7 linked regions of the Mus musculus genome follow. The protein of the gene in region 3 purifies or fractionates together with the protein of the main gene of each other region. This does not show direct contact. Links are inferred from orthologs where the notes say so. Each region holds a gene or a part of one and is shown on either strand. Other genes may lie near its edges.

Region 1 (3,500 bases), on a different chromosome or scaffold from region 3:
CAAATTCTAGCTCATGGACTAGGTTCTTGTAAATTCATTAACTAGTTAATTAATTTATGTATGTGGGTATTTTTGTTTCTATATATGTCTGTATATACCTGACCTGAAGAAGGTGTCAGATCCTCTGTAACTGGAGTTACAGATGGTTGTGAACCTCCATACAGGTGCTAGGAATTGAACCTGTGTCCTTTGGAAGAACAGCCAGTGCTCTTAACTGCTGAGCCATCTCTCCAGCCCCACTCATGGGCTCTTGTATCTTGTATACTAAACATCTGGATTTTATTCTCATTCTCCCCACCCCCTTTCCATCAGTGAGCCTCTTCTGTATAAAGTTCCCTTTCCTATTTTCAGATCCTTAGGATAGGCTACCACAAGTGGAGTTACTGGGTTAGAGAGTATGGACTTTTGTGTGTTTTTACCTACAATATTTAGATTTGTTGTTAATTGATTTATATTCATTGTAGAAGATAAAAATTACAGCGATTGTGCTTCTTATCTGAAGGTAAGGTTTTATGGTTCAGGAAGCTTGGGAAATTGCCAGGATAATAAAGCTCCTTGAAGGGGACTTATGCCAACATCCCTGAACCTTGCTGGTCACTTTATAGGTGGCTTTGTTGTTGTTGTTTGTATATGTTTAATAGTTAGTGAATGATTTATATAGGAATTATTTTATTGGCTAAGTTATATCTTATTGATCCAAGCAACTAAACCACCAAGCTTTTAGAGATTTATGAGAAAAGGTAGTTAAAAGTCTTTAGTATGATTTTTTTTGAAAAAAATTATAACTTACTTAATTTAAAACTTATTTATTACTAACGAGCGCGTGAATCTTTAATTATATACTTAGACTATAGGCAAATGACACGAAAATAGACAGTAACAAAGATTGTACAAATCTTGTTTATCCCCCTTTTCCTCCTACAGAATGTGAAAACCTTTGCATCTTCTGATAGTCTAGCCAAGGTCCAAGAAGTAGCAAGCTGGCTTTTGGAAATGAATCAGGAACTGCTCTCTGTGGGCAGCAAAAGACGACGAACTGGAGGCTCTCTGAGAGGGAATGCTTCCTCAAGCCAGGTTGATGAGGGACAGATGAATCGCGTGGTTGAGGAGGATCCACAGCAGCAAGCGAGACATCAAGAGGAGGAGCACACTGCGCGGAATGGTGAACTTGTGGGTGCAAACCCTAGGCCTGGAGACCAGAACGATACCCAGCAAGGACAAGTGGAGGAAAATAATAACCGCTTTATTTCAGTAGATGAGGACTCTTCGGGAAATCAGGAAGAGCAAGAGGAAGATGAAGAGCATGCTGGGGAACAGGAGGAGGAAGAGGAGGAAGAGGAAGAGGAGGAGGAGATGGACCAGGAGAGTGATGATTTTGATCCGTCTGATGACAGTAGCAGAGAAGATGAACATACGCACAATAGCAATGTCACAAACTGCAGTAGTGTCTCGGACCTGCCCGCTCACCAGCTCTCCTCTCCATTCTATACAAAGACAACAAAAGTGAGTACCTTTAGTCCCCTTCCAGCTGGTATGCTACCTCGCTAGTTCAGTTATAGTGAAGTCATCCTTGCAATCTTCACATGCAGAACAACTTTAGTAAGTCAGTTTTAGTTTGTTAAAGGCTTTAGTGTTAGAAATACAGATACTAATAAGAAGTCAACTTAATTGCAAAACTAGGGGGTGCGGATTGATGTTGTTTACCACCAAAAAAAAAAAAATCACCAGCTTCACCTTTGCTGCCAGAGTGGTTTGGGTGAGTGTGCAGGGTTGGTGTGAAATATGATGTGTGTAAATTAAGTAATGAAGAATCTTATTTGCAGAGTAGCTAATGTAGTCACTGTCTGTCGTTTCACCAGCGTTAACTCTAATGGGTAAGTTAGTGGAAGTCACAGCAAATAGTTCTGCGTTGTTGTTCAGAAGTTAACCGTGGCTCATGGATGTCTAAGTAGACTAGCTTTCAGTTAACCTGTTCTAGGGATTGCATGGAGTGACAGGTCACTTGTTCTACACACATAAAAACAAACAGTCCACATCAGACATCCCTTTACTCATTTGCTGATTTTTAAATTTAACAATGAATCATTGGATTTAGTCTGTAAATACCTGTAAATTTAACAGTATCTCTTTCAATATGGTTTGACTTTAACTATAGTATCTAATACAGTTGGCTTAAAATTCAATTTGCTGAATCAGTTTTGTTTTTAGGTTGTAAAACAAACTGTCTCAGAGAACGTTTGTACCTCTAATCTCCAGAGCCTGGTCACGTTGTTTTATTTACTTGCTGGCATGGCTTAGGAAGGAAGTGGCATCAGGTCATGGCTCTCTCCCATTTAACTTTCTCAAAATGGAGGGTTTTGGTCTGGGCTGATTCTTAGTGTTTTGCCGTTCTTTTTATTTCCGTCATAGCAGTTTAGAAAATCCTCTAGCACTCTGGAGGGCAGGGCAGGAAGATTATGAATTCAAGGCAAGACATTCTCTCAATTGCTTAAAAGACGTTTTAAAAGTTACCTGTAGCTGTATTAAGACTTCACATATCGAAATCTATTAATAAGAAGAAATTTATACTAATTCAGTATTTTATTTTGGAGGCCTTTACATCTTTGATCATTATAAAACAACAGAATTGTACAGTATCCTAGGCTGCAGTTTCATTTCAGTCCGCAACGTGGGGCCTTAGAGAAGAGTAGGGCTGAGATGGGAATCCTACTGGAGAGGCAGGTGTGGCAGCCTCATCACTTAAGGCAGGAAGATTGTTGTAGATTTCAGGCTGGCCTGGGCTGTATAGTGGGTGTGAGTCTGGGATGGACTGTTCAGAAGACTTTTATCTTTGAAAGGAAGAAAACGTCTTCCACGTTCTCAGTTTGCTTTAAAAATGTCCCTGTAGAAGTCTCCAGCAATCCTGACCGCAGCTCCACTTAGTGTGTCATTCTGCAGCATTTCTGCATTAATGAGAAAAGGCGTGTGTTCTCTGTTGCATTGGTTTACTCTACAGAGCACAATGGAGACTGTCCAGACTAAGGGCAGTTTCCTGCCCTTGGTCATTGAGCTTTCCTTTTTTGTGAGTGTAGAGAAGACGGACAGCAGTTTTGACCTAACTGTGAAGTGGGCACCCTTAAGTGCTGAGTATAACAGTGGCCAGTGGTTCAAGGCAGACTTGTACTAGTTCTTAAAATTTCTGAACTCTTGACAGGTTTTTTGAGGTGCTTTCTGTCCAGGTGACTGACAGACCCATTTGGACTAACTCTTAGTTATAGGGAACAGTCTCTGCTCTTTATAAGAAAGCCATGTTTCCTCTTGGGGCCATTAAGTTTTGTTCTTAAGGGAATATGCCATAAGCAGTATAGAGTATATTAGATACTAGATAAACAGATCGGGAATTCTAATATTAAGTGTCAAGGCTAATTGTAGTCAATAATTGCTGCTTATTAAATACAAACTGTTTACACGTTCCTGAATAGATAAGTAAACAGGTTATAGGGAGCCCAATGGTTCACTCC
Region 2 (3,980 bases), on a different chromosome or scaffold from region 3:
CATGGCTGCCCTGGAACCTCACTATGTAAAAGACCAAGCTGGATTGGTACATGCATGCAGCACTCAGGAAGGAAGATGTCTGAGTTCGAGGCCAGCTTAGTCTAGAGCAAGTGCCAGGACAGCCACGGCTACACAAAGAAAACCCGTCTTAAAAAACTAAAGACAGCCGGGCGTGGTGGCGCACGCCTTTAATCCCAGCACTCGGGAGGCAGAGGCAGGCGGATTTCTTGAGTTCGAGGCCAGTCTGGTCTACAGAGTGAGTTCCAGGACAGCCAGGGCTACACAGAGAAACCCTGTCTCGAAAAACCAAAAAAATAAAAACAAACAAACAAACAAACAAACAAACCATAAAGACACACAACAAAAACAAGTAACACCTTGGTAACAAACTCAAGAGATCCACCTGCCTCTGCCTCCCGAACACTACCAAATATTTTAAAAACTCAACCAGAGGCATGAATCTACAGATTTGGACAGAGTTCTATGCTCCAAGGCTAATGGCTTTCTTGGAAATCAGAAGTTAAATTGTGAATATGGCTGTTTCTACCTCACACTCTGTATTTTACTTATTCATTCGGTTGCCTCCCCACAGACTGTAATAGAGGGCAGCAAGTAGCCGATAGCAGCTCAATAAATATTTGTAAAGCTAATTACTGGGCCTCAGCAGGTTCTGCAGGAAATGTGGCCAGGGCAGAGTCTTGCAGAGCAGGCAGGGCAGCGCCAGAACCAGGATCAAAGCGTTTCCCGGGCCTGCACTTAGCACCGCGTGGGCTCTGCCGGTCCTGGGATAGCTTGGCCATCTCTCCGCTTCTCTTTCCTCCCTGGGTGCTCCAACTGCTCCGAGCCTGAGGACTTTAATTTCATCCTTACTATCTCCCATCTGGACCACCCACCCCCTCCCCCAACCTTTAAGCGTCGCCGCAGTGCTACCCCCACTGCGCATGCCTCCCGGCTTGAGGCCCAGTTTCGTGCCTGGGAGGTAGATGTGCGCTTGCGCAGAGCCGCCCCGAGCCCCCCACAGGGGCGGTGCACCAGGATCTTGTGCAGCCTCTGGGCCCGCCCACCTCCTCGCGCCCTCAAAGGACTAGTACGCGTGCGCACAGCGAATGGCTGAGCATGCGCGCAGAGAGCGGAAGGGTGGGCTGGCGCGCGCACGAGGCCGGCCGGGCAGCGGAAGCAGGGCAAGTGGAGCGGGTAGACAGGGAGGCGGGGGCGCGCGGCGGGCGCGTGCGGTGGGGGGGGGTGGCCTGGCGAAGCCCAGCGGGCGCGCGCGCGAGGCTTTCCCACTCGCTTGGCAGCGGCGGAGACGGCTTCTTTGTTTCCTGAGGAGAAGCGAGACGCCCACTCTGTCCCCGACCCCTCGTGGAGGGTTGGGGGCGGCGCCAGGAAGGTTACGGCGCCGTTACCTCCAGGTAAGGAATGGAGGCTCCCGGGCGGAACCAGGCTCCCGGGGCTTGGGCAAGACGGTTTGAATGAAGCGGAGGCGCCGGGAGGGGGAGGGGGCAGCTGGGCGACCAAAGCGGGGTCGCGGTACGGCGGCGCCTGAGGGTCAAGAAGCCCTGCGCGCGCGTCTCAGGCCGCAGTGCAGCGAGACCGCGGCGGCTTCCTGACTGTGGCCGGCGAGGCGGGTGGCTCTGGGCCGCGTGAAGGCCGCGCGCGCGTTCTCGTAGGGTCTTGGACAAAGCTTCTTCCCTTTGGCGTTTCAGAGATCCAGATCCCCCACTTTAATTTCTGTGGACCCCAACTTTGAACAGTGGCTAGGTGTCGTGGGCTTTTCTGGCCTCGTTTGTAACGGGTGGGATCCCAATGCCCTGTGGTCGGGCGTCGGGAGCAACATTTTTACCTCAGTTATTGATGCCCAGTGTAGCTTGGACACAGTCATGAGCCCTCTTCGGTCTCCAGACCTTACTTTCTTCATGTTTATTATTTTTTTTTTTGATAAATTTCATTATTGCAGATTTTGAAGGAAAAATAAAGAATTTCTTCCATGGCTTCAAAATGTTTGCCTAAAAAGTGAAAGATGCCTGGGGACGTTTGCTCTCGGCGGCATTGTTTTTCTTTTGAGTCCCTTGGCCCTTCCCAGTTTTTAAGATAGGGTTTTTTATTTTAAAACACCGAAGGCAAGTGTTTTGTGCGGGTCCGAAGACATCTACTTGATCCCTTTTACCTCCAGTGACTCCTCAGGAACTAGAAACAAGTTTTTGTTTGAACTGACAGACAGCCTTTGAGTTTGATGCCCAGCGCCGGCTGCTGTCAGCTTGCTGTGTGGCCTTAGGCGAAATCGCTAATCTCGCCAAACCTCTTGGTTTCCTCCTTTGTACAAGGGAATTACTTTCGCTGTTAGGATTGGGAAGAACTAGGCAAATCGTTCCTACATCATCATTATTCTGATTTTGAAGACAGACTCTTATAACCTAGGCTGACATCCAGCTCCTCATGTAGACCAGGCTGGCTTCATCCTCACTTTGCTGCCTCCACCTCCCAAGTGCTGGGATGATGTTCAGCCAGGCTTCCTGCCCTGTTCTTTGTTCTTGACTGGTCCAGCAGATAGTTGAATCTTTTACTTTGTGTTACATGTCTGGTAGGGGAATGGGCAGTAAATATGGGGACGTTTCTCCTTGGCCTGCATGTGTATTAATTCATTAAGAAGTTTTGGGTTTGTTTTGATTCTCCTGGCCCCCTTCTGTTCTCACTGTATAGTCCTGGCTGTCCTAGAACTCTGTTACCGGCTGCCCTCAAATTCACACAGATTGGCCGCCTCTGCCCTCTGAGTACTGGGATTAAACTCTTGCATTAGCAAAGCCCTTAAGGCCACTTATGTTTTATTTTTATTTATTTATTATTTTTTATTTTTTAAGATTTATTTATTATTATATCTAAGTACACTGTAGCTGTCTTCAGACTCTCATTTCGGATAATTGTGAGCCACCATGTGGTTGCTGGGATTTGAACTCAGGACCTTCTAAAAGGCAGTCAGTGCTCTTAACCACTGAGCCATCTCTCCTGCCCTTGTTTTTTTTTTTTTTTAATTAATTCAGTTTTGTTTGTTTTTTGTTTTTCCAGACAGGGTTTCTCTGTATAGCCCTAGCTGTCCTGGAACTCACTCTGTAGACCAAGGTGGCCTTGAACTTAGAAATTTGCCTGCCTCTGCCTCCTGAGTGCTGGGATTAAAGGTGTGTGCCACCATGCCCTGTTTATTTGTTTTTTTGAGACAGGGTCTCTCTGTGCAGCCCTGGCTGTCCTGGAACTTGCTTTATAGACCAGGCTGACTTCTAGCTGAACTCAGAGCTGCCTGCCTCTGCCTGGGATTCACACTGAGCCACCAGTGCCAAGCAGTTTAAAGCATTACAATTCCTTATTTATTTGTGTGTGGAGGTCAGAGAGACTTTGCCGGGGTCATTTCTCCCCTCCTTCATGTGGTTTCCCGAGATTGAACTCAGGTAGTCAGTTTTCAGTGCAAGTTACCTGTTGAGTCATTTCTCCTTTCCCTAAGTCTTAAGTGTGTTGAATTTTTGAGGTGTTGATCAAAGTTGATCCTGTACATGCTAGGGAAGTAAGTGTCCTTCCACCAAGCTAGTATCCTGCAAGCATTGTTTTGATTTTGCTATTTTTTTATTAATGTGGGTTTTTTGTTGTTGTTTGTTGTTTTGGGTGTTGTTAAGCTTGGAATCCATGGCACTGTGCATGGTAGACATGTATTGTATGTATGTATGTATGTATGTATGCATCTCTCTAACCCTTTGGCCTGCCGTTTAAGCCTCATACCCTATCTTGTGAAGGGACAGAGTGGTTGCCCAAGGGAGCAGTGGTGGGCATGTCTAGAAGGTTGCATGAAGGAGGAATCTTCATTCAAAATTAGGGAAGATGTGTCTCCCCTGGCCCCATAGCTGGGAGTGGAGCGATGTCATCACAGCTGCTGCTCTGTCTGTCTCCAGCAGGCAATAATGGGACAGGAGAGGGGTGGTCCTTGGGAGGGATGA
Region 3 (3,970 bases):
AACCACACCACACACAAAAACATTCACCTTCTAAAAACTAGAAGAAAATTAAAACACACACACACACACACAAACTACCACCATCTGTACTCTTTTGAGTTAGACAAACTTATTTCTCATGTTTCTTTTTAATATTTCTAAAACGGGTGGGGCAAAATGATCTTACAAAATTTGGATAAAGCTAGATACAGGTTCTAAGCTTTGGCTTTTTTATTTGGGCTTCATTCCCCATTTCAAAATGCACCGAGGTGGCTCTCCAACAATGCTAGCAAGTGTCTGACCGAGGGGACACAGGAAGCACAGAGAGAAAGCCAGGATTGAGAAATGACCCTATGGATTCACTGTTTAGCCCGACCTACTTGTTGTCCCGACCTACTTGTTGCATCTCTGGGCACGGAATCTGGAGGCACCTTTGGTACAGGGTAAAAAGAGAAGCCTACTGAGAGAGGACCATCCACACCCACGTTCACGCGCCTGCAGGGATCTTACTGGGATCCTAAATCTGGTCAAGGGTGTGCTGTCCCGTGGGACCTGACTGAGGAACCCTCTGGATGGCCTGAGGTTCTTGTGGAGCACCTGTAACTGAAGGCGGGCCGGGGACGGGGAGTGGAACCATGGAACTGGAGAAAGGTAGAGATCTGTTCTGTCTCCTGTAGCAGGAATGAGGAGCCGAACCGAGCAAAGCTCAAAGACTTTTGGGGCTAGACAGGCTCCCTGGCCCCTCAAGGAGGAGGATATGCCTGAGAAGGGTAAGACAATTTTTATCTGCAAGTTTGAGTAAGAATGTGGACCTCAAACTTCCTGATCAGTGGGCCCGCAGGGAATGCTGTTAAGAGGCTACCAAGACAATGTACATGCCCCACAGGCCACGGGTCAGGAGCATGAATTCCTACCTGTGAACAGACAGCCAGATCCAAGAAGCTCTGCTGTCCCTGGATGGCCTAGACAAGGGTTTTCTTTTTTCTACTTCTACGTCAGAGCTTGTTTTTTGTACTCAGGGTCATGCCAGCTCCCACTGACCACCGTCTCTTATACCAGCTCCACTGCTTACAGCGTGTCTTATAGCAGTCCACTGCTGCTCAGTACAGACTACTTGCCCATGACTCCCAGCACGCTAACAAGGCTCACAGATGAGTTGCAGCTGTGTGGATGGAAGGAGGTGACAGGGCAGATCAGCTCCATCCTCACACTGAGAGGCCCTCATCAGAACACCCTGTCCTGGAAGAACCTACACTGACACCTCGCCCACATTTGTACCAATCTATAAGCAGAAACAGCAGACAGGATGGATCTTCCTAATAGGATTAAGCTCAGACTATTCCAGAGGCTACCTGGTAGTCCTACTGGACCTAGGTAAGAAAGCTCCCCTTCAGTCAAAGAAAACAGAGGGGGGTAAATTGGGGAAAGATAGAAAGGTAAGATCATACTCTCTGCCCAGGTGTATGAAATCCAGGACAGGCTGTGAACTGAATATGGCATTCAGGAAAACAACGCGGCCCACGGATAGCCCATGGGATAATCACAAAGACCGTCTCGTGAAAAGTGAAGTTCCGTGCTTTCTAGTCTTCTCTTTATTCCCAAAACACCCTTTAGGCAGAGCAGAGTTTAAACAAACAGGCAACTGAGAGCCAGAAGCCTTGGCCTCCATCTGCCACCCAGGCCTTTTCTCCATTCTTGCCAGCTTAAGAAACTTGTGCGAGGGGGCAGTGCTCCGCAGAGACCGAGAGACCCGCCAGATTTGGCTTGCAGAAGGTCAAGGTGGTGGCACCTAGCCGCCTCCATCCCTCCAAAGGTTCCCATTGAATCAGGGTGGCCTGTCTTCAGGCCACCACCATCGGCTAGCTCTGCGCGCTCTGGCCCTCAGAATCCACATGTGAACAGCAGATTCTACTTTCCAACTTAACACAAACACGGAACGACCTCTGCAAGCCAGCCAGAGATGCAGGGCCAGCAGGGTGTGCGGTGTACACAGTCCGCTGCCAGGCAACAGAACAGGGTTCGACACGGCCCTTGGAGGGCCGGGCAAAACTGCTCTGGCGTCTGGAGACTATCGGGGCTGAGCTTAGGCTCCACATCCTCCTATTCTCGCTCTTCTCTCATGCATTCCTTAGGCCTTCCACTTATTCTGAATGATTGCCTAAAAAGCAGAAACGCAGACGGACTCTGGGAACTATTTCTCTGTGAGCAAAGACCCTGTACTGGAAGCCCCGTCCTTATTGTCCGGGTGAAATGTAGGATGATTTGGGGTCTCGGCCTACTCTCCGTGAGTGGCTCTGGGGGCGGGGCGCACTTCCTCCCCAGACAGCGGCGTCCTCCCTCTAGGATGCCAGGATGGCTGAACCCGGGCGAGCCCGACTAACTCGCAGGCCGCTTTCTCCGAAGCAGGTCCCCTCCCGCCACAGGACCCTCCCTCGAAGGCCGCTCCGGCCCATGCCAGCTCCTACCGGGCTCCAGCAGATGAGCGCGTCTGTGTCCGGGTCGCTCACGAGGGTCCACAGCTTGGTTAGGAAGGCCGGGACGTTGCTGGGCCCCGCTGCACCGGGGCCCACGGCCAGATCCATCTCGGACGAAAGCAGGCAGAGGCTGGGGTGGCCTTTTAGAAGAGTGGCTGAAGGCTGAGCTAGTGTCGTCGCTGCCCCTGCCGTCCGGGCCGCTCCGCCGCCCGCTGCGCACACACAGCAAGGCCTCGCATGGCCGCAGCCATCTTGCGACCGGCGCGCTCTCGCTAGGGCCAGACCTGTAGCCTCTGTGCGCAGGCGCCGTGATCTCCCCTGCCTACTTTGCCGGCCCAGCCCTTGCGCCGCACCCTACGCCTGCGCAAGATGGCTTCACCCGGGCTGCTCACCAATCAGAGCCTGGTAGGGCGGAGCCTGGCTGGGGGCACACGAGGCGCTCCCGCTGCCGGAAGCGGCAGTAGATCGGTAGCCGGCGCGGCGCAGCATGGCGGGGGCGTGTGGTAAGCCCCACATGTCACCGGCATCGCTGCCGGGGAAACGACGTTTGGAACCTGATCAGGAGCTGCAGATACAAGAGGTAACTTCCAAGTAGCGGACAGCATCCCTCTGGGAACCATGCAGGCACTTGGCAAGACCAGGGAGGCCGGGCCGTGGCGCAGCGTGTAGTGTCGTGTGGGTCGCCTAGAGCCTGATCGTCCAGTCTGGGCTGTTATTTTGGAACTCTCAGCAGAACATTACTTGCGCCGAGGGGCGCTGGAACCCGGGGGATAGTTCTGTGGCTTGAACCGTGTTAAGGGAGAGACCTTTAAGAGTCCCCTCACCATAGTCTCTGGACCTTCCATCTGTGCTTCCTGTCCTGGGAAAGGTTGTAATTGCGCTCGTGCTGTGCTACCAAGCCAGCATGTCAGGTGTGTTGTGAATCAAAAGAGGACTTGAGATTATGGAAGTCTGATTGGAACCCAGGGCATCCAGAACTGGTTGTCATGGAACCATTGCTAGTCCATGTTGCTAAGCTCAGTAGGCTTGCTACATTCATCAAATGTAGGTGGTAGAAGGCATGCACAGCTGACTCCACTGAATTGGATCCTCAAAGTTCTCAACTTTCCTAATGCTGTGGCCCTTTTAATACGGTTCCTCGTGTTGCGGTGATTTCCCAACTACAAAATCATTTTCGCTGCTACTTCATAACTGTAATTTTGCCGGGTGGTGGTGGCACACGCCTTTAATCCCAGCACTTGGGAGGCAGAGGCAGGTGGATTTCTGAGTTCGAGGCCAGTCTGGTCTACAAAGTGAGTGCCAGGACAGCCAGGGCTACACAGAGAAACCCTGTCTCGAAAAAACCAAAAAGAAAACATAACTGTAATTTTGCTACTGTTATGAATCGTAATTATTTGATATGCAGGATAGTCTATGAAAGGGTTGCTCGCCCCAGAGGGATTGTGACCCACTGGTTGAGAACCACTACGTAAGTTGTCCCTTTGTTTTATGAAACGCCCCTAAGCTTTTCCCTCTGT
Region 4 (4,149 bases), on a different chromosome or scaffold from region 3:
GCATAACCTTTAAATCCAAAAGATAAGCATTTAATTTCCCGGCATTAGGTAGCAATATAAATTAGAATGTATTGATACTGGTATTCCCTAGTATTCACACCCAAACATACAGCCAGACTTTCAGAGTTAACGTACGTACCACACAGTCTGTGAGCTTTCCCCATTGCTCATAGTAGTTTCTCAAACTTTCTTCTGTGGTTTCAAAGCTTAAGCCACCAATAAAGAGCTTTCGGAACTGTTCCTTTTCTCTCTGCAAAGGGAAATACCATTTCAATTTTTATTTACACTTTCTTTGTATGCAGGAAATTAAATTCTTAAATATGAGGTGACCTGCTGGTAGAGTACCTTTTTCCTCTCCAAAGGAACAGTTTCTAAAGTTTTCTGGGGGGGAGAAAAAAAACTTACATCAAATTTAAACCATATGTTAAACTGCATATTAGTTGTGTTACACCAAAAATTGCCTGAGCTATACAAGTTTCAAAGTCACTAATATTCGATCTAACTTCTAATTCACGTAAACTTTCTTAGATTTTCTTCAAAAAAATTCAGAAAAACCATACCCAGCTCTTAGGTCATTTAAAGGGTATTAAAGAATTCTTTTGTAATTCATTAAATTCTACAACCCAAGTCCAAAATTTACTACTTTTTAGATTTAAAAAAAATTTAAAAAACCTGTTTCCAAATTCACCACTTCCAAGATTCAGTTTCTGAAAAGTGGCATATTTGCTTTTCCCTGAGCTGCCCCCTCTGGTGTTAATTGTAAGTATCTCAAGATGAAAAAAAAAAATCCTGCAACTCTGAAACAAGCTCCATGAAGAATGCTGAAACTCCAGATATCACCTTAAATCTGGTTTTGTCAGGCACTTAATACTGGCTTTCCAATAGCTAAGTACAAAAACTTATCAAGATGTTCATAAATTAGGTCATACTATCCAGGACCTATGACTGCACAACGAAATGAAAAAGCAAAATTATAAAACAAATCCGTTATTTTACTGTATAGCCTAAATTTGTAAGTTTCTCCAAAATGTGCTCAAAAAGCCAATGTTTACAATTTTTAGGTTTTGAAATGTTTAATAAAAACGACCAAAATTGTTTTAAATAGTCAAAATAGTTACAAAAGCCTTAATCAGGACTCCAAATAGTGTTTCTGGTAGCTCTACTAAAATGTCAGTAAATTGGCTTTCCTTAAACTAAGTTGCAAGTATTAAATACACCTTGTTTTTTCATATCACTAACGAAAGCAAAAGCTCTTTACTTACCTCGGGTTTTTTCCAAACTTACCAGACGTCCACTATCGATTATAAACAAGGTTATTTTATTTATAAGTGTGCTTAGAGTCAAAGAAAATAACCAAGGAGACCCCTTTCAATTCGAAAGCTAATGCTTATCAGTGTAATGATGCATCATAATTTCAAACAAATAAAAAATAAAAAAACCGAATGACCACGCTCAAACACTGTGACCCCAAACTAAGTTTTTATATAGCCAGGACGTGGATTTTCGTCCACTGAACCAGGCTTTAAGCGAAGGCTAACTATGAAAAGTCAGCTATTTCACTTCCTTAAAGTGAACACCACGTGCTAAGGATCCGTTGACTTTACCAACAAATTCGAAGATTCCCTTAAAAATGCTTATAATTTGAATTATTTCGATCCGAGGATCCTTTAAGCAGATAAAAGTTCTGCAATAAAAGGAAAGTAACCCTGCACTCAACATAGCCTCCCTAGCTTCCTGATGAGCGCTCCCATTTTTTCCACTTTGACTTCCTCCTACTATACTAATGCTCAAGTGCTTTACTACAGCACCCGTAATCTTACGTATTATGAAAAATAAAACGGTCTCTTTGCAGCGACGCTGCCTTCAGCCACCCGCCCAGGCCTCGGTTGTACTACGTTCTCTCTGCCTGTTCCAGTAAAGCTCGTGGAGCGCCGCCACCCCGCCCCCACCCCGCGCCTCGGTGGCTTCAGAAAGCAATGGCGCCATTTCGTCGAGGGGAAGGCAGAGAGCCTTTAGCGAGGTGCGCAGGACGCTGAAGACCCAAGCTCAAAACGCTAAATCCACCTCGAAACGGTATGAAGACTTCCAAAAGAAAGGAAAATCGCTAAACACGTCTACGCAGTGGTGAAAAAAGAAAACCAAACTAGTAAACCTAAAGCGTTGAAAGCAAAATCGTGGCGAGGAAGGAGACGGGAAAATGGCGGCCGCCAAATCCGGTTCCCGGGAGAGGGGGGAGGGGAAGCTTCGCAGACTCGCTCCGGGAAGCCGGGGGGGCCCCAGAAACGTTCCGCCGCGAACACAACCGAGCCCCTAGGCCCGCGCACATCGAAAGGCCAGCGATGGCCCGCTCACGCGCTACTTTAGCGGTCCAGCCCGGTCGCGGCGGGCACTTCCCATCCCCCACCCCAACTGAGGGAAATGGCGCCGGGCGGCTGAGGGCGGGGAAGGCGGTCGGACAATCAGAGGCCTCCTCCAACGACCCCTCAGAAACTCGCCAAGGCCAACCGCCACTCGAGTGGCCGCATCCCCTCCGCCGGACCACGGAGGCGGGTGGCCGGTTTCCATTGCGGTGCCTACGGCCTCGCCATGCCATTTTTAATAACTCATTGATTTCAAACCCGTTACCTCCATCGCGGACTCAGTCGCTTCAGCCCGATTTCCCGCAGCCGAGCGAGATGAGAAAGACCTCCGCGGACGGACGCGCACGGGACTCGTCCTGGCGCTGTGGGGAGAGCAGGCGATGGCCAAGAAACTGGGCCGCAAAGGAGCTCCTGCACACGGGACCGGCGCCGCTGCTACTGCCGCTGGAGCCGAGACCGCCGCTTTTCTAGAACCTTCCCCCCACTAACGCGTCTCCGCTTACGTCACGCCGTTACGTAAACGCCCTAACCGCCGCCAATGGCGGGAAGGGCCTACACTCTCCTTACGCCAAGTACGTGACACTCCCCCTTTAGGTACAGCGGGACTGCTTTACATCACTTGCGCAACTGTGTTCCGTGAATTGCGGAAGGCTCGCGCTCGGCGTGTTACTACGTCCGGAACTAGGTCCGGCCCCCACCTCCGCGTAGGGAGCGGAGAAACGGTCGCGCAGTTTGAAATAACGCCGTCGGGAGGGGCTTAGGCCGGCGCTGGGGCGTGCGGCCCTCTCCACCCAAGCGTGCTCTCTGCAGCTACGCCTTTGCCAAGCCCGTCCGCACAAATATTCTCGAACCACACAAATATTTCTACACGTCCCAAAGGGGTTCTCACTCGGTCCCTCCCAGAAGGACTTTTAGTCCAAGTACCACCCCGGATGCCACAAGCCTTGGGATCCCGCGCCTAGTGAGAGGTGGTGCTTAAAGAACCCCGCTGTTTATCTCCCCGGCCTTCAAGATCCGGGCAAGGAGGTGGGTGGAGCCCCGCTTTGGCGCGCTCCGAGACGCAGAGAGGCCTCCGCGGTCCTTCCTGCCCGCCTTCCCCCCCCTCCCCCCAGCCAGGAGACCCCCTGGGCGCCACGCCGCGGACGGTGAGCATTGCGCGCGCCGCCCCCCGCAGGACGCGTTCCCGGCGGGCCCCGCGCGGCCAGGGCGTGGGCGGTGCTCCCCCTCCCCCCCGGCGGAGCTGCCCGCGCCCCCTCCCCTCGGATGTGGCTGAACCGAAGCGCGCAGGCGGGAGACTCTGCAGGATCCGCGGCCCTGAGCATCGGAGCGGTGAAGTTCGTGCCTTTGCTTTTTTTCGATCTTGCGTGTGGTGGGGTTTAGGATGCTCCGTGCGTCCGAGCTTGCGGGGAGGCTGCGAGCCCCGTGGGCCGCGGGCTGCGGGAAACCGGCTGGGGCCTCGCTGAGGCGGGCGCCGCGCCGGTGCGTGGGGGAGATGGGACAATTGTGCATGAGGGTGGGAGCCGGATGACAGCTACCGAGACTCCAGACAAAGCGCGGGCCTCCCCTCCCCCAGCCTCGTCGCAGGCCCGCAGGGAGAGAGCGGTTCAGGCTCTGCAGCTGCGAGGCCCGAGGCTCCGGGCTGCGGCGCGCTCCCGGCTACGTGGCCGCCGCCGGATGGGGGAGGCGCGGGCCCGTGGCGCAGTGCCCTTGAGCCCCCGCCGCCGCCTTTGTTTCTCCCCGCGGAGGCGCTGACCACGAGGCCCGCGCTCTCGGGTGGGGGACGGGCTCC
Region 5 (4,086 bases), on a different chromosome or scaffold from region 3:
TTCAATCTTAGGCTTCTCCTCATCCTCCTTATCTTCCTCCTCTTTCTCACCTTTCTCTTCCTCTGCCTCATCATCACTGATCTCCTTCTCCCGTTCCTTCTCCAACTAAATCACCAATGACACATGTAATTAATTGTGGAGAATGTAGCACCAGCAAGGCCCAGTGCCATTAGCCTGCTCCAACACTGCCAAGCCCATACTCACATAGAGGGTGATGGGATAGCCTATGAACTGCGAATGTTTCTTCACCACTTCCTTGACCCTCCTCTCCTCCAAGTACTCTGTCTGGTCTTCTTTGAGGTGAAGGATCACTTTGGTACCCCGGCCAATGGGCTCACCTACAGAGAACAAATCAAGACATGAAAAACTGAAACTAAAATACAAGAACGAACTACGCTTTTTTCGTTCCTGGTTTCTCAAGCAAGCTAAGATTCCTGTGTAGCCCCTTTGCTTGCCTTAAGAACTCACCCAAGTGCTGGCACTCACCACCCCTTAAAATGTACTTTTATAGAATACAACGTCTAAGGTTTCCCCACAATGTAGCCTGCTGCCTCACCATGGTCTGCCCGGACGGTGAAGGAGCCACCCGCAGACGACTCCCAGGCATACTGCTCATCATCATTGTGCTTCGTGATCACAACCACTTTCTCTGCAACTAGATAGGCCGAGTAGAATCCGACACCAAACTGCCCGATCATGGAGATGTCTGCACCAGCCTGCAAAGGGTTTGAAGTAAAGAGGATCAGCAACATGGTTCTTGGCCAAGTATAACCATCTGCTGCGCAAGGTAACAATCAGTTCAATGTCCAGAGATCTAGGGGTCAAAGCTGTCCTGACCAACCACTTGTACTTTTTTTCTAATAAGTGTCCTAATATGTAATACCCTAGACAGACAAATTTTAACTTAAGCAGTAACAAATTAGAGGACGGTGTGGATGAAAGGCCACACACCTGGAGAGCCTCCATGAACGCCTTCGTGCCAGACTTAGCAATGGTTCCCAGGTTATTAATGAGGTCAGCCTTGGTCATGCCAATGCCTGTGTCCACCAAAGTCAGCGTGCGCTCCTGAGGGTTGGGGATGATGTCAATTTTCAGCTCTTTCCCACTGTCCAACTTAGAAGGGTCCGTCAGGCTCTCATATCGAATCTTGTCCAGGGCCTGTAGTAAACGCAAAAAGCCAGATTATTTTATTTTTCCAAACAGTCCCTCCCCCTTCAACATCAACTGAACTGTTCTTCTCAATCACTCCCACACACACACACACTTCCGTGAAGCCTTAGAAATTCAACAACAGAATACTCACATCTGAAGCATTAGAGATCAACTCGCGGAGGAAAATCTCCTTGTTTGAATAGAAAGTGTTGATGATGAGGGACATGAGCTGGGCAATTTCTGCCTGAAAGGCAAAGGTCTCCACCTCCTCCTCTCCATGGTGCACTTCCTCAGGCATCTAAGAATGAAAGAATTACTACTAAGGACCATTATAGACACACATTTTAATATCCAGCTCAAACTTCTTTAGTCTGGGAAAGTATCCAACCCAAAGAGACAAGAGCAGCCATTTTCTTTAAAAAAGGACATTTAAGCTACAATGGCCAAGACAAAAATGACAGAAAAAAACCTAAAAGATGGGTTTTCCAGAACAGATGCCCAAAAGTCAAACTCTTGAACATTGGCATGTTCAGTGCATAGCTCACTGACTCTGAACAGAACACCTGGCAATATGGTAAAAATCCAGACTAAGTTAACAATACATAAAAAAGAACCTCAAGCAACCCCTGGTACTCACACCCCTTAACTACAATCTCCTCATTGGGGTGAGGAACAACTTTAACAGAAAAAGCAGTCTTTTTTAATTTTTATTTTATTCCACCCAGCAGGGCAAGAGAACCTTGAAGCTGTAGTCTGGGAGGCGCTCACGGGGCAATTAAATCAGGACAAAGAAATCAAGAGCTCCACCGTGACCACTCACTGTGCAGACTTGCATAGGCCGGAACCCAAGTAAAATGGTGGCCCAGCCGTCCAACGACCCTCGTCACTGCCGGACATGCGTCGGCAGGAGCCACACGGGGAGGGGGCGCCATTGAAACCCTCCCACCGCCCCAGCATCCGGGCACTGGGGCGGGGCGCCCAGGCTTCCAGAACAATCTGAGCTCCGGGGAGGGGAGGAGAAAGGGAGGGACCTAGGAATCTTCTCGTGCCTGCTCTGTCTCTCCTCCCCCGCCCTCCACTGGGAGGGCAGAAAGATCTGGAAAGGGAAAGCGCGGTGGGTTCCGGCGTCCCTGCTGTGCACCCCTCCCCAAAATCAAGCACGTTGGTACCGGCGGCGTCCGGGGGAGGCAGCCAGGCCAACCTCCCCAGGCCTTGCTGAGTCACGCAGAGCAGCCCGCCACCGCGCGGACCCTGCAGCCGCGCCCGGAAGTGGAGGGCAAACATGGCAGCGTCCCGGGTCGGCGACTACCACGTGCGGCCGCCCACCACCTGGCCGGGCCGCACCCCCACCCCACGCTCCGGGGAATCCACCCGCCCCGGGGAGCCTCGCGTGCAAGCCCGCCGGGGTACAGCCCGAACCTCTAACCTCTAGACACGTTATCTCCACAGGCTGCCCCGCCGGGGAAGGAGGCTTTGGGACAGATGAGATGGAGGCTGGGACCCCGGGAAGAAGCCCCCGGAGAGCCGCCGGGGACGAGAGACCCCGGCCTTACCTTGACGGGAAAGCCGAGTAGTAGTACAGAGCAGGGTGGTGGGCCCGGACCAAGTCCGACTCGCACGGCAAGCCTAGGCTGCGCGGGGGTGACTCAAGAGAGCTCCCGAACGCCCCCGACCGCCCTATATAAGGCGAAGCACAGCCCGGGCCCCGCCCTTGGATCCCTCCGCCTTAAAGGAGTGGCTGCGGGCCACGCACCTGCCGCCGCCCGCCCACCTTGACGTCATGGTAGCAGATCGTGGAGGGGGCGGGGAGGAGCGGGACCCCGGGCCTGGTTCCTGAGTCAAGGCCAATTCAATATCGTTTTGCACATCCCCCATTTCTGCAGGAGTAGGACATGTCCCCCCTCAAGATGAGCAGGGAGCATGCATATGCAATTAGGGATGTATCTGCGGGCGAATACCCTACGGACTGCCTCAGAAAACTCAAGGTAGGCGCTTCCACCCCCCCACCCCCCAAGAGTCCAGAACTCAGGGGACTGAAAGAGAATGGAGGTGGCCAACTCGGCTGCCATTTCCAGACCCGATCTTACTAGAATGTTCCCTACAAATCGCACATCAAGAGAAAAGGATGATAAATTCCTTGTCCAACTTTAAGGAGGCCCCCGATTCCCCCATCCCCACCCTCCCGGGTACAGCACAGCTTCAGGCTGGGAGCCGCTTTCCCCGAGGGGAGGGGCACGGGCCTGGGCTGGTAGGGACTCTTTGGCGGCCTGCGGCGGAAGGATCAGCAGCGGTGGTGCTGCGATTTCTTCCAGCAGTTTCTAGGCCTGTCTCGGCGGTCTCCACCCCTCCCCCCTAGGCTCCACCTCCCCTGCTGCGGCGGGGGCAGTGTCTTCGTCGCCGCTTGGCTGGGTGGCTTTTTTTTTTTTTTTTTTTCCCCTACCTTGATCTTACCCTGGGAAGAAATTTTCCCCAAGTCTGCCTACCGTGGGCCAGGGTTGAACGACCCTCCACGCGTGGCCCTAAGAGGCCCACATAACAGTGGGGGAGTGGAGCGCAGAGGGAGGGATAGCTGACCTGGATCGGTCACAGGGCACGGGGGCTGTGGGGGTGAGTGACTGCGGACACCTTCTAGTGAACAGAGAACCGAGCTAGCAGCTTGCGCTACTGGGTAGAACACTCCCCACCCCTCAGCCTCCCCGGTCTCCCACGTACACAGCGCGCGGGTACGTGCGCCCTCCCTATGTGAGCACAAGCTGTTTCTCAAGCTGGTTTCGCTTCTCTAGCCTCTTCCCTACTGCATGCAGCTCTTTGGACCTAGAGAGGAGCAGGTCCCAGTCTTTTCAGAGAAGCTGGAGTTCTAGGCATCCGCATGAAGGTGCTGGTCACAGGTTGGCCCAGTTCCAGGAGCCAGAAAACCAAGTTGTGCCAGTGCCT
Region 6 (3,500 bases), on a different chromosome or scaffold from region 3:
TACAAGGCCCCCTCCTCCTAGGACCCCGGCACACCTACCTGCACAGGGCTCCAAGCACATGCTCATGGAAAGGACTGTGTTCTGTCCTCACAAGGGCCACCAGCTGCTGGACCATCCCCATGGAGCAAAGGGTTCCTGGGGGAAGAGCTGTGGGAGTCAGCAAGGACGTTCCCATACCACTCCCATGCGCCCCAGATGCCTTTGTCAGGCCATCTGCTCACCTTTGTGCTCAGGGTGGCCCACCAGCAAGTTCTGCAGCAGGAATGCTGACTTGACCTTGAGCTTCTGCACTTGCTGCTGCATGGCCCGCATCAGCACTGAGAATCCATCCAGGCGGAGGAACTGCAGCAACCCAGCCTCCTGCTCTCGGACAAGACCTGGAGGGAGAAGCAGAGCTCTGAGGTCCCAGTCACTATGGCCTTCAGCATCACCACCACCACAGGCACCAACGCCACTAGCGTTGTGACCATCACCACTATACCCCTCTCACCACCATCTCAGTTACTACAACTAACTCCACCCATTCACTCTTATCATCATTGCCATCACAATCAGCATCAATTCTAGCACCACCATCACCATCAGCAGCACCACAATACCATAACCATTACTAAACCCGTCAATATCACCATCATCACCTTGACCACCACCACCATTTCCATTAATAGCCATCATCCCCTGTACTATCACCATTGCTACAGCCATGAACACCCTCACCACCAAATCACTATTAGCATCACAACCAGCATTATCATTACTACGTAGTCACTACTTCCATTTACCAGCACTATCATCACAATCACCACCACCGCCATCACTTCAACCATCAGTGGTACTGCCACCATCCCACTGTCAGCAGCAGCAGCAGCATCATGACCGCCACCACCATCACCATCATATAGTTCATCATCATAACCCAGAGTTCACCCTCTTAATGCATGTAACTCAGTGTTTTTTAGCATGTTCACAAGCTATGCAGCCATGGCTATCACAACTCCAGAACATTTATATCATGCTGGTACCCAGTGGATGACATTCCCATTCTCAAGTGTCCCTCCTGCCTCTGCCACCACAGGTCTAGTTTCTTTCCCTATTGATTTGCCTATCTTGGATACCTCCTCTGAATGGACTCACACAACACAAACCTTTGTATCTAGTTTTAGTCACTCAATTAAATGTTTTCAAGAATTCTGTAACTACTTCATTTCTTCTTACACTAGAGCAATATTCTATCTTAGAGGCATGTAACTTGTCTTTTGCTACTTTGTGGGTTGTTCTTTCTTCCACCCTTCTCCATCCCTTTTCTTTCACCCTTTCAATCTCCTAGCACTGGATAAGAGGAAAAAAGGATAGAGAGAAAAGGAAAGAGACCCCTGAATAAAGTCAGGGGTCCGAAGGGGGAAGGCAACGTTTTTGTTAGACTACTTCCTGCTGATTAAGGCATTGCTGATTGGGGCAAGACTGATCTTTAGTGTAAGTATCTAATCTCTTCTTGTAGTTTCTTCTTTCTGTGCACTGACTACTTAACACACTATGATCAACAGCAATCAACAACCACCCCTGCCTCTTGGAACCCTTGCATTTATTTATTTATAAATCCTCTGAAAAGTTCCCGAATTATAACCATCACACAATTACAGAAACTATCTGCACCTGGCAAAATCATGCCCCTGCTAAAGCATGAGGCAAATCACAGTCAGCTGCTATGGACAATCTGAAGCAGCCCCATATCCCACACCTGGGATTAAAACAAAAACATATTCTTATAATATTTTTGTGTATAATATTTTGGATACCTCCTATGAATGGATATTTTTGTGGTTTTTAGAGAAGCCAAATTTCCAAAATTGCCTTTGTAGAGACAACAGCACATGTTTGTGCATTATCACCTTTTACTTTTCACATATACCCAGTAGATAGGTGTTCTTGGGTTCCAAATTTATCTATTTTCTCATTCATTCAGTCATTTACTTATTTTGGTCTTTTTCTGTTTGTGTACATGATACATATGTGTATCGTGCACGTGAAACCCAGAGGTCAAGCCCGGTGTTGTCCAGAATCACTGCCTACCGTGTTCATTGAGGCGGGGTTTCTCACTGAACCTGTAACTCCCTGGTTATAGCAGGCTGAATTACTAGGAGTTCCAAGGACTACCAAATCTCTGCTCCCCAGCTCTGGGATTACAGCCCCAAGCCTCCTTGTTTGTCCTGTTACACGGTACTGGGCATCTGAACCCAGGTTCTCATGCTTGCAAGCATTTTACCAACTGAATCATTTCCCCAGCCTTATTTATCAGCTTTAAGATGAGGTTTCATAGGTCTCAGTCTGGCCTCCAGCTTGCTCACACAACCAAAGATGACCCGAGTTCTTCTTAGCCTTACTGTTTCCACCTTCAAAATGCAGGGGTTAAAGGAATGCACCACACGTGTCTTAAATTCCCATTTAACAGACACGACAGCCAGGCTTCAGAGCATGTATGATCTTTCTTCCGAAGGCAACAAGGATTCTGAGAAGCCGTCAAGCAGGGTAACAGCCAACCAGGGATGCGTCTGCAGGAAGGTCAAGCTCCAAGCCTTCACTGCTCAGACAGAAGCCACTGCAAGTTCAAGGCCACTAGGTACCTCACATGTGCCAAGTGTGACTAAGGAGCTGGGCTGTCTGTCCCCTTTCAAGTTCATTGAAATAGAAAGTCAACAACCAGAAAGGCAGTACATTTTTCCTCTAAACACAACTCTGTTGTTTTAGTAAAACTATACACCAACCTTTGGAAGCTCTACACCTAAACTGAGATGTGCTGAGTGTAAAATGCATACCACAGACTTCTGAGACTTAGCAAGACATAAAGACACAAAAGATCATTAACAGTCCATATGCAGGGGCAAGAGGGATGGCTCAGTGGTTAAGCTCTTAACTCTGGGGCCGCTCTCCCAGAAGACTCAGGTTCATTTCTCAGAACTCACGTGGTGGCTCAATCACCAGTAATTTCAGTCCCAAGGGATCCAGTGGACTTCTCCTTCTGAAGAGCTGCGCACCAGGCATACAACTTAGTTGTACAGGCACACATCCACATAAAATACCCATAAACTCATAAAAAATAAATTTAAAAAAGTTTAAAACTGAAAGGGGCTGGAGAGATGGCTCAGAGGGTAAGAGCATCGACTGTTCTTCCAAAGGTCCTGAGTTCAAATCCTAGCAACCACATACTGGCTCACAACCATCCGTAATGAGATCTGACGCCCTCTTCTGGCACATCTGAAGACAGCTGCAGTGTACTTATTTATAATAAATAAATAAATAAATAAATACCTTAGAAAACTTTAAAAATAGGTCTGTACCCACTATGTGCTCTGGAGCTGGGGTCATAGGCAGTGACAATTGCCCGATGTGGATACCAGAAACGCTGCTCATCCTCTGCAAAAGCAGTATGCTTCTTTTTTAATAAATAAATAAATAAATAAAAACCTGCTGAGCCATCTCTCTAGCTTATTTTCTTTCTCAAG
Region 7 (4,112 bases), on a different chromosome or scaffold from region 3:
GGTGAGTTTTTGAAAATACCAAACAATTTATAAACTCTTTACTGCTTTTATTTTTTTCCAGAAAGTAATAAGTTAAGAGTATTTCTTCTTGTTTTGTTTTGTTTGTTTGAGGCAACATTTCTCTATTGACTAAGCTGGCCTTGAACTCAGAGATCCACCTGCCTCTGCCTCTGAGAGCTGGGATTAAAGCTGTGTACCACCAGGTCAGGCCCAAAGTAGAGTCCTATTTTTTTTTTTCTTTTTTCCTTTTTTAATTAGATATTTTCTTTATTTACATTTCAAATGTTATCCCCTTTCCTAGTTTCCCCTCTGAAAACTCCCATCCCCTCCCCCCTCCCCCTGCTCACCAACCCATCCACTCCTGCTTCCTGGCCCTGGCCTTCCCCTATACTGAGGCATAGAACCTTCACGGGACCAAGGGCCTCTCCTCCCATTGATGATAGAGTCCTATTTTAAAGTGCATTTACTTTACCAAACTTTTCATTTTGAAAGGACCAAATGTACATAAATTATTACTGAACATTATGCTAAATATGACTTCTGTTAACTATATTTTCAAAGATCCTACGTGGCCGGATGGTGGTGGCTCATGCCTCAGAAAGCAGAGGCAGGAGGATCTCTGTGAGTTCCAGGTCAGCCAACACTACACAGAGAAACCCTGTCTTGAAAAGCAAAGCAACCCAAGGAGCTGAAGGGGTTTGCAGCCCCATAGGAGGAACAACAATATGAACCAACCACTACCCCCAGAGCTCCCAGGGACTAAACCACCAACCAAAGAGTACACATGGAGGGACTCAAGGCTCCAGCCCAATATGTAGCAGAGGATGGCCTTGTGGGAAATCAATGAGAGGCCCTTGGTCTTATGAAGGCTCTGTGCTCCAGCGTAGGGGAATGCCAGGACAGGGAAGCGGGAGTGAGTGGGGTAATGAGCAGGGAGGGGGGGAATGAGATAGGGGGGTTTTCGGAGGGGAAATGAGGAAAGGAATAAAATTTGAAATGTAAATAAAAAAATATCTAATTTTAAAAAAAGAAAAACAAAACAAACAAGAAAAATCCTACCTAAATTTGTATTTTTAAGTTCTTCACTCAAAATTCAATCGAATTTTTATTTATTTTTATTTTATTTTATTGGTTTTTCGAGATCGGGTTTCTCTGTGTAGCCCTGGCTGTCCTGGAACTCTGTAGACCAGACTGGCCTTGAACTCAGAAATCTGCCTGCTTCTGCCTCTCAAGTGCTGGGATTAAAGAGGTGTGCCACAACTGCCCAGCTCAATCTTTTTTTTCTTTTTTTTTATAAAAAAAGACAAGGTCTTATTTTGCAACACAGGCTAGTTTCATTCCAACTTAATTACTTAATAACTTTTGAGATAGACTCCGATTATATAGCCCTGGCTAGACTTGAACTCAAGATCCTCTCGCCACAGCTTCCTGGGTGCTGGGATGACAGGCCTGAACCAGGCTGGGCTTCATTCCAAATTTGTATTTTCAATTTTTCTTGCTTTTTAGATTGAAGTACACAAACCTGAATATCTATGCAAATGAAGCATACACCTAGTGTTCACCAGACTCCTCAGCTGTTTCTGGTAACAAAACTCCAGTATTTGAAAAGGACAACAAGGAATCACGCCATTAAAAATACATTCTTTCACTCCAGTGTGAGTCTTAAGGCAGTGGCTAAGTATGGTGATACAATGTCTGATCTTTAGTTTTGGAACTGTCAGAAAGAGTATCTTAAAAAAAAATAGTGGTAGTATCAGAATTTTCTCTAACTGAAAGCAGTTTCGACCAGTAATAATAAGTTTAATGGGGGAAAATAACTTATTTACTCGAGCCTCCTGAGTCACTCTATGCCTAAGATCCAGTAAACTCAAGATAAGCCTCAACTAAGTTCTGAATTTGAAAGTGAAATCCCCACAGGAGACTCCACTCAGCAGCCTTTCAATCCTGGCCGTGCGCCATCAGCACCGGAGGGAGCCCAGGGTCTCAGCACGGGACGCGCGGGACAGAGAGGCGGCGGCCGGGCCTGGCCTGGGCCTCAGCCGCTCATCAGGCCGGTCGCCCTTCCCTGGGACGCGGCGCACCGCAGCTCAGGCCACCACTGCCCTTCGCCCTTCGCAAGAGGCTGTGGAAAACCACCCGATGTCACCACGCGGGTCGCACCCCGCTGGCTACCGTCCAAGGCCACCCTGCCTGCGGCTCTCTGCGGCCCGACGCCCGTTCGAGGCGGATATGGTTAAGGACTCTCCTTGCGCAGCAGGGCGCGGGGTGGGGTGACTCGCATAGCCCTGGCTCGACCAGGCCCCTTCGCCGTCGAGGTGGGACGGCAAGCTCCACTCACCTTAGGGCCCTCGGGGGGCACACGCGGGTCGTTCCACGTCGTGGTGCGGCTGTTGTGGTCCACGAAGAAGGGCCAGCCGGTCTGCGGGTCGATTTTGATCTCCCAGCCCGGGGGCAGGGGGTCTCGGTCGCTGGCTCCGTTGCCGGACGCCATCTGCATCATGGGCGATTGGGTGGCGGCGCTCATGCTGGGTTAGGGTCCGCCCGGGGCGCAGAGCTAGGGCGCGGGTCACGAGGTCGTGGAGTGCGGGCACCTCTGTGTAGCCGATGTGTCCGGGAAGCCGGCGCCGGGCACCTTTATGAATTAAAGGACTGGGTGACGTGGCCGAAGAGGGGTGGAAGTGTCTGGAAATAGCCTCCTAGCTGCCAAAGGGGAAGGAGGAGATAAAGAGAAGGCAGCAACTGGCCGGCTAGAAACTTCTGGTCCCATCCAGAGAACTTGGCGGCCGCCGTGGGTTGGATGCGGAGCTCCGCCCTGAGTCATAGGCTATAATCGCGGCGGGGCGGGACCTTGGGAGGGATCGGAGGCGGGGATTTGTCACCCGCCCCTCCTTCTCCTAGACTACCCAGGCTGTCCCTCCCTATCCCTGTCCTGTGTGTGTCCTGGGGCCTGTGCGCCTCGCGCCAGGTTGACACGCACCGGTGTCCTTGTGCTCTCTGGCTGGTTTCTGTCTCCGGACTCCCCACCACTCTTTCGTGCCGCGTGGGGGTGTCCCGGGGTTAGCAGTCCAAGGGCCGACACCTGGGGCCCCACCTTTGTGTAAGGACTAAATCATCTTTAAACTCGGAAAGTCTAGTTCTTTCTCTCTCTTCACACTCAGTGACGCTGGCGTCCTGCAGTGACGTTTTTAGTAACTTTTTCTCAAGGGCCTTATGACTTCTGAGAAATTCTGGAATGCTGATCTGAGGTCACAACAAAAAGAAAGAGCTGTGGAAACTCACCTGCCTGCTTTGGAAAACTGAAGAAGCAAGGACTAAAGTGACAACTTTGTGCTCTTGGCCTTCTATATAGGCACTTTCGCACAGTGACTAGACTTCAGAAACACCTGGAACCAATACTGAGGCCAATTTCCTGACTCAGATTCAGAGAATGTCCTGGGACCTTCAAAGATACATCTCTGGCCTCTTCCCCTCCGATTTTTACTCTGTGGCAAATACTAGAGGACTCTGCCAGACATTTCCAACAAGCTGATTTTTTTTACTTCCAAAGACCTTCTTACTGACTTTGAAGTCTCAAAGCCTCAGTATAAGTATTAACATAGTTAGCCTTCAGGTACTGCCTGGTGCCACCAAACACACCTGTATAAGCCCAAATGTGGGAATATTGACTTATTATCATTTGATAGTCACATTGAAAGGTCTAGACACTTAGATTCACTCACTGGTCAGTGTCTGTCTTTTGCTTCTTTATACCTGAACCCACCCAGCACGTGGCTAAATCCAGAGTCCATCTTCAATAAAGGAATAAAGATTGATGTTTATTGAAGACTGAATACAAAGTGAATTTTTTCGCTTGTTTTTCAATACAAGGTATCTTTGTGTAGTTTTGGCTGTCCTAGAACTAGCTAATTATGTAGACCAGGCTGACCTTGAACTCACAGAGATCCATCTCTCTGCCTCCCAAGTGCTGGGATCAAGGGCATGTGTCACCACTGCTTGGCTGTGGATATTTTTTTAAAGATATGGTCTATCTATATAGTTCTGCCTCCCAAGTATTGAGATTAAAGGTGCACACTACCATCTACTACGCCTAGCAATGCCCTATTTAAAAAATA

The links.
Region 1: the proteins of Hsf1 (region 3) and Fbxw7 purify together in Homo sapiens (affinity purification with western blotting; 4 studies listed by BioGRID, with this or other methods). This does not show direct contact. The link is inferred for Mus musculus from reciprocal best matches to the Homo sapiens genes HSF1 and FBXW7.
Region 2: the proteins of Hsf1 (region 3) and Smarca4 purify together in Homo sapiens (affinity purification with western blotting; 3 studies listed by BioGRID). This does not show direct contact. The link is inferred for Mus musculus from reciprocal best matches to the Homo sapiens genes HSF1 and SMARCA4.
Region 4: the proteins of Hsf1 (region 3) and Hnrnpa2b1 purify together in Homo sapiens (affinity purification with mass spectrometry; 3 studies listed by BioGRID, with this or other methods). This does not show direct contact. The link is inferred for Mus musculus from reciprocal best matches to the Homo sapiens genes HSF1 and HNRNPA2B1.
Region 5: the proteins of Hsf1 (region 3) and Hsp90ab1 purify together in Homo sapiens (affinity purification with western blotting; 3 studies listed by BioGRID, with this or other methods). This does not show direct contact. The link is inferred for Mus musculus from reciprocal best matches to the Homo sapiens genes HSF1 and HSP90AB1.
Region 6: the proteins of Hsf1 (region 3) and Hspbp1 purify together in Homo sapiens (affinity purification with mass spectrometry; 5 studies listed by BioGRID and IntAct, counting the BioPlex papers as one, with this or other methods). This does not show direct contact. The link is inferred for Mus musculus from reciprocal best matches to the Homo sapiens genes HSF1 and HSPBP1.
Region 7: the proteins of Hsf1 (region 3) and Bag3 purify together in Homo sapiens (affinity purification with mass spectrometry; 3 studies listed by BioGRID and IntAct, with this or other methods). This does not show direct contact. The link is inferred for Mus musculus from reciprocal best matches to the Homo sapiens genes HSF1 and BAG3.

Annotation. Positions count from the first base shown.
Region 1 is NC_000069.6:84,902,577-84,906,076, forward strand, and holds part of Fbxw7 (F-box/WD repeat-containing protein 7), read left to right. Parts: intron 1-924; 5' UTR 925-993; coding exon 994-1,503; intron 1,504-3,500. UniProt on the Homo sapiens protein: Substrate recognition component of a SCF (SKP1-CUL1-F-box protein) E3 ubiquitin-protein ligase complex which mediates the ubiquitination and subsequent proteasomal degradation of target proteins.
Region 2 is NC_000075.6:21,614,989-21,618,968, forward strand, and holds the start of Smarca4 (transcription activator BRG1), read left to right. Parts: upstream 1-1,180; 5' UTR 1,181-1,412; intron 1,413-3,980. UniProt on the Homo sapiens protein: ATPase involved in transcriptional activation and repression of select genes by chromatin remodeling (alteration of DNA-nucleosome topology).
Region 3 is NC_000081.6:76,476,192-76,480,161, reverse strand, and holds the start of Hsf1 (heat shock factor protein 1), read right to left. Parts: upstream 2,801-3,970; 5' UTR 2,562-2,800; coding exon 2,445-2,561; intron 1-2,444. Other genes in the region: ribosome biogenesis protein BOP1, read left to right, coding at 2,941-3,033. UniProt on the Homo sapiens protein: Functions as a stress-inducible and DNA-binding transcription factor that plays a central role in the transcriptional activation of the heat shock response (HSR), leading to the expression of a large class of molecular chaperones, heat shock proteins (HSPs), that protect cells from cellular insult damage.
Region 4 is NC_000072.6:51,467,046-51,471,194, forward strand, and holds the start of Hnrnpa2b1 (heterogeneous nuclear ribonucleoproteins A2/B1), read right to left. Parts: upstream 2,801-4,149; 5' UTR 2,632-2,800; coding exon 2,626-2,631; intron 382-2,625; coding exon 346-381; intron 251-345; coding exon 140-250; intron 8-139; coding exon 1-7. UniProt on the Homo sapiens protein: Heterogeneous nuclear ribonucleoprotein (hnRNP) that associates with nascent pre-mRNAs, packaging them into hnRNP particles.
Region 5 is NC_000083.6:45,570,462-45,574,547, forward strand, and holds the start of Hsp90ab1 (heat shock protein HSP 90-beta), read right to left. Parts: upstream 2,801-4,086; 5' UTR 2,706-2,800; intron 1,451-2,705; coding exon 1,304-1,450; intron 1,159-1,303; coding exon 952-1,158; intron 717-951; coding exon 557-716; intron 339-556; coding exon 205-338; intron 106-204; coding exon 1-105. UniProt on the Homo sapiens protein: Molecular chaperone that promotes the maturation, structural maintenance and proper regulation of specific target proteins involved for instance in cell cycle control and signal transduction. Undergoes a functional cycle linked to its ATPase activity.
Region 6 is NC_000073.6:4,664,482-4,667,981, forward strand, and holds part of Hspbp1 (hsp70-binding protein 1), read right to left. Parts: intron 378-3,500; coding exon 222-377; intron 136-221; coding exon 39-135; intron 1-38. UniProt on the Homo sapiens protein: Inhibits HSPA1A chaperone activity by changing the conformation of the ATP-binding domain of HSPA1A and interfering with ATP binding. Interferes with ubiquitination mediated by STUB1 and inhibits chaperone-assisted degradation of immature CFTR.
Region 7 is NC_000073.6:128,522,271-128,526,382, reverse strand, and holds the start of Bag3 (BAG family molecular chaperone regulator 3), read right to left. Parts: upstream 2,801-4,112; 5' UTR 2,525-2,800; coding exon 2,339-2,524; intron 1-2,338. UniProt on the Homo sapiens protein: Co-chaperone and adapter protein that connects different classes of molecular chaperones including heat shock proteins 70 (HSP70s), e.g. HSPA1A/HSP70 or HSPA8/HSC70, and small heat shock proteins (sHSPs), e.g. HSPB8.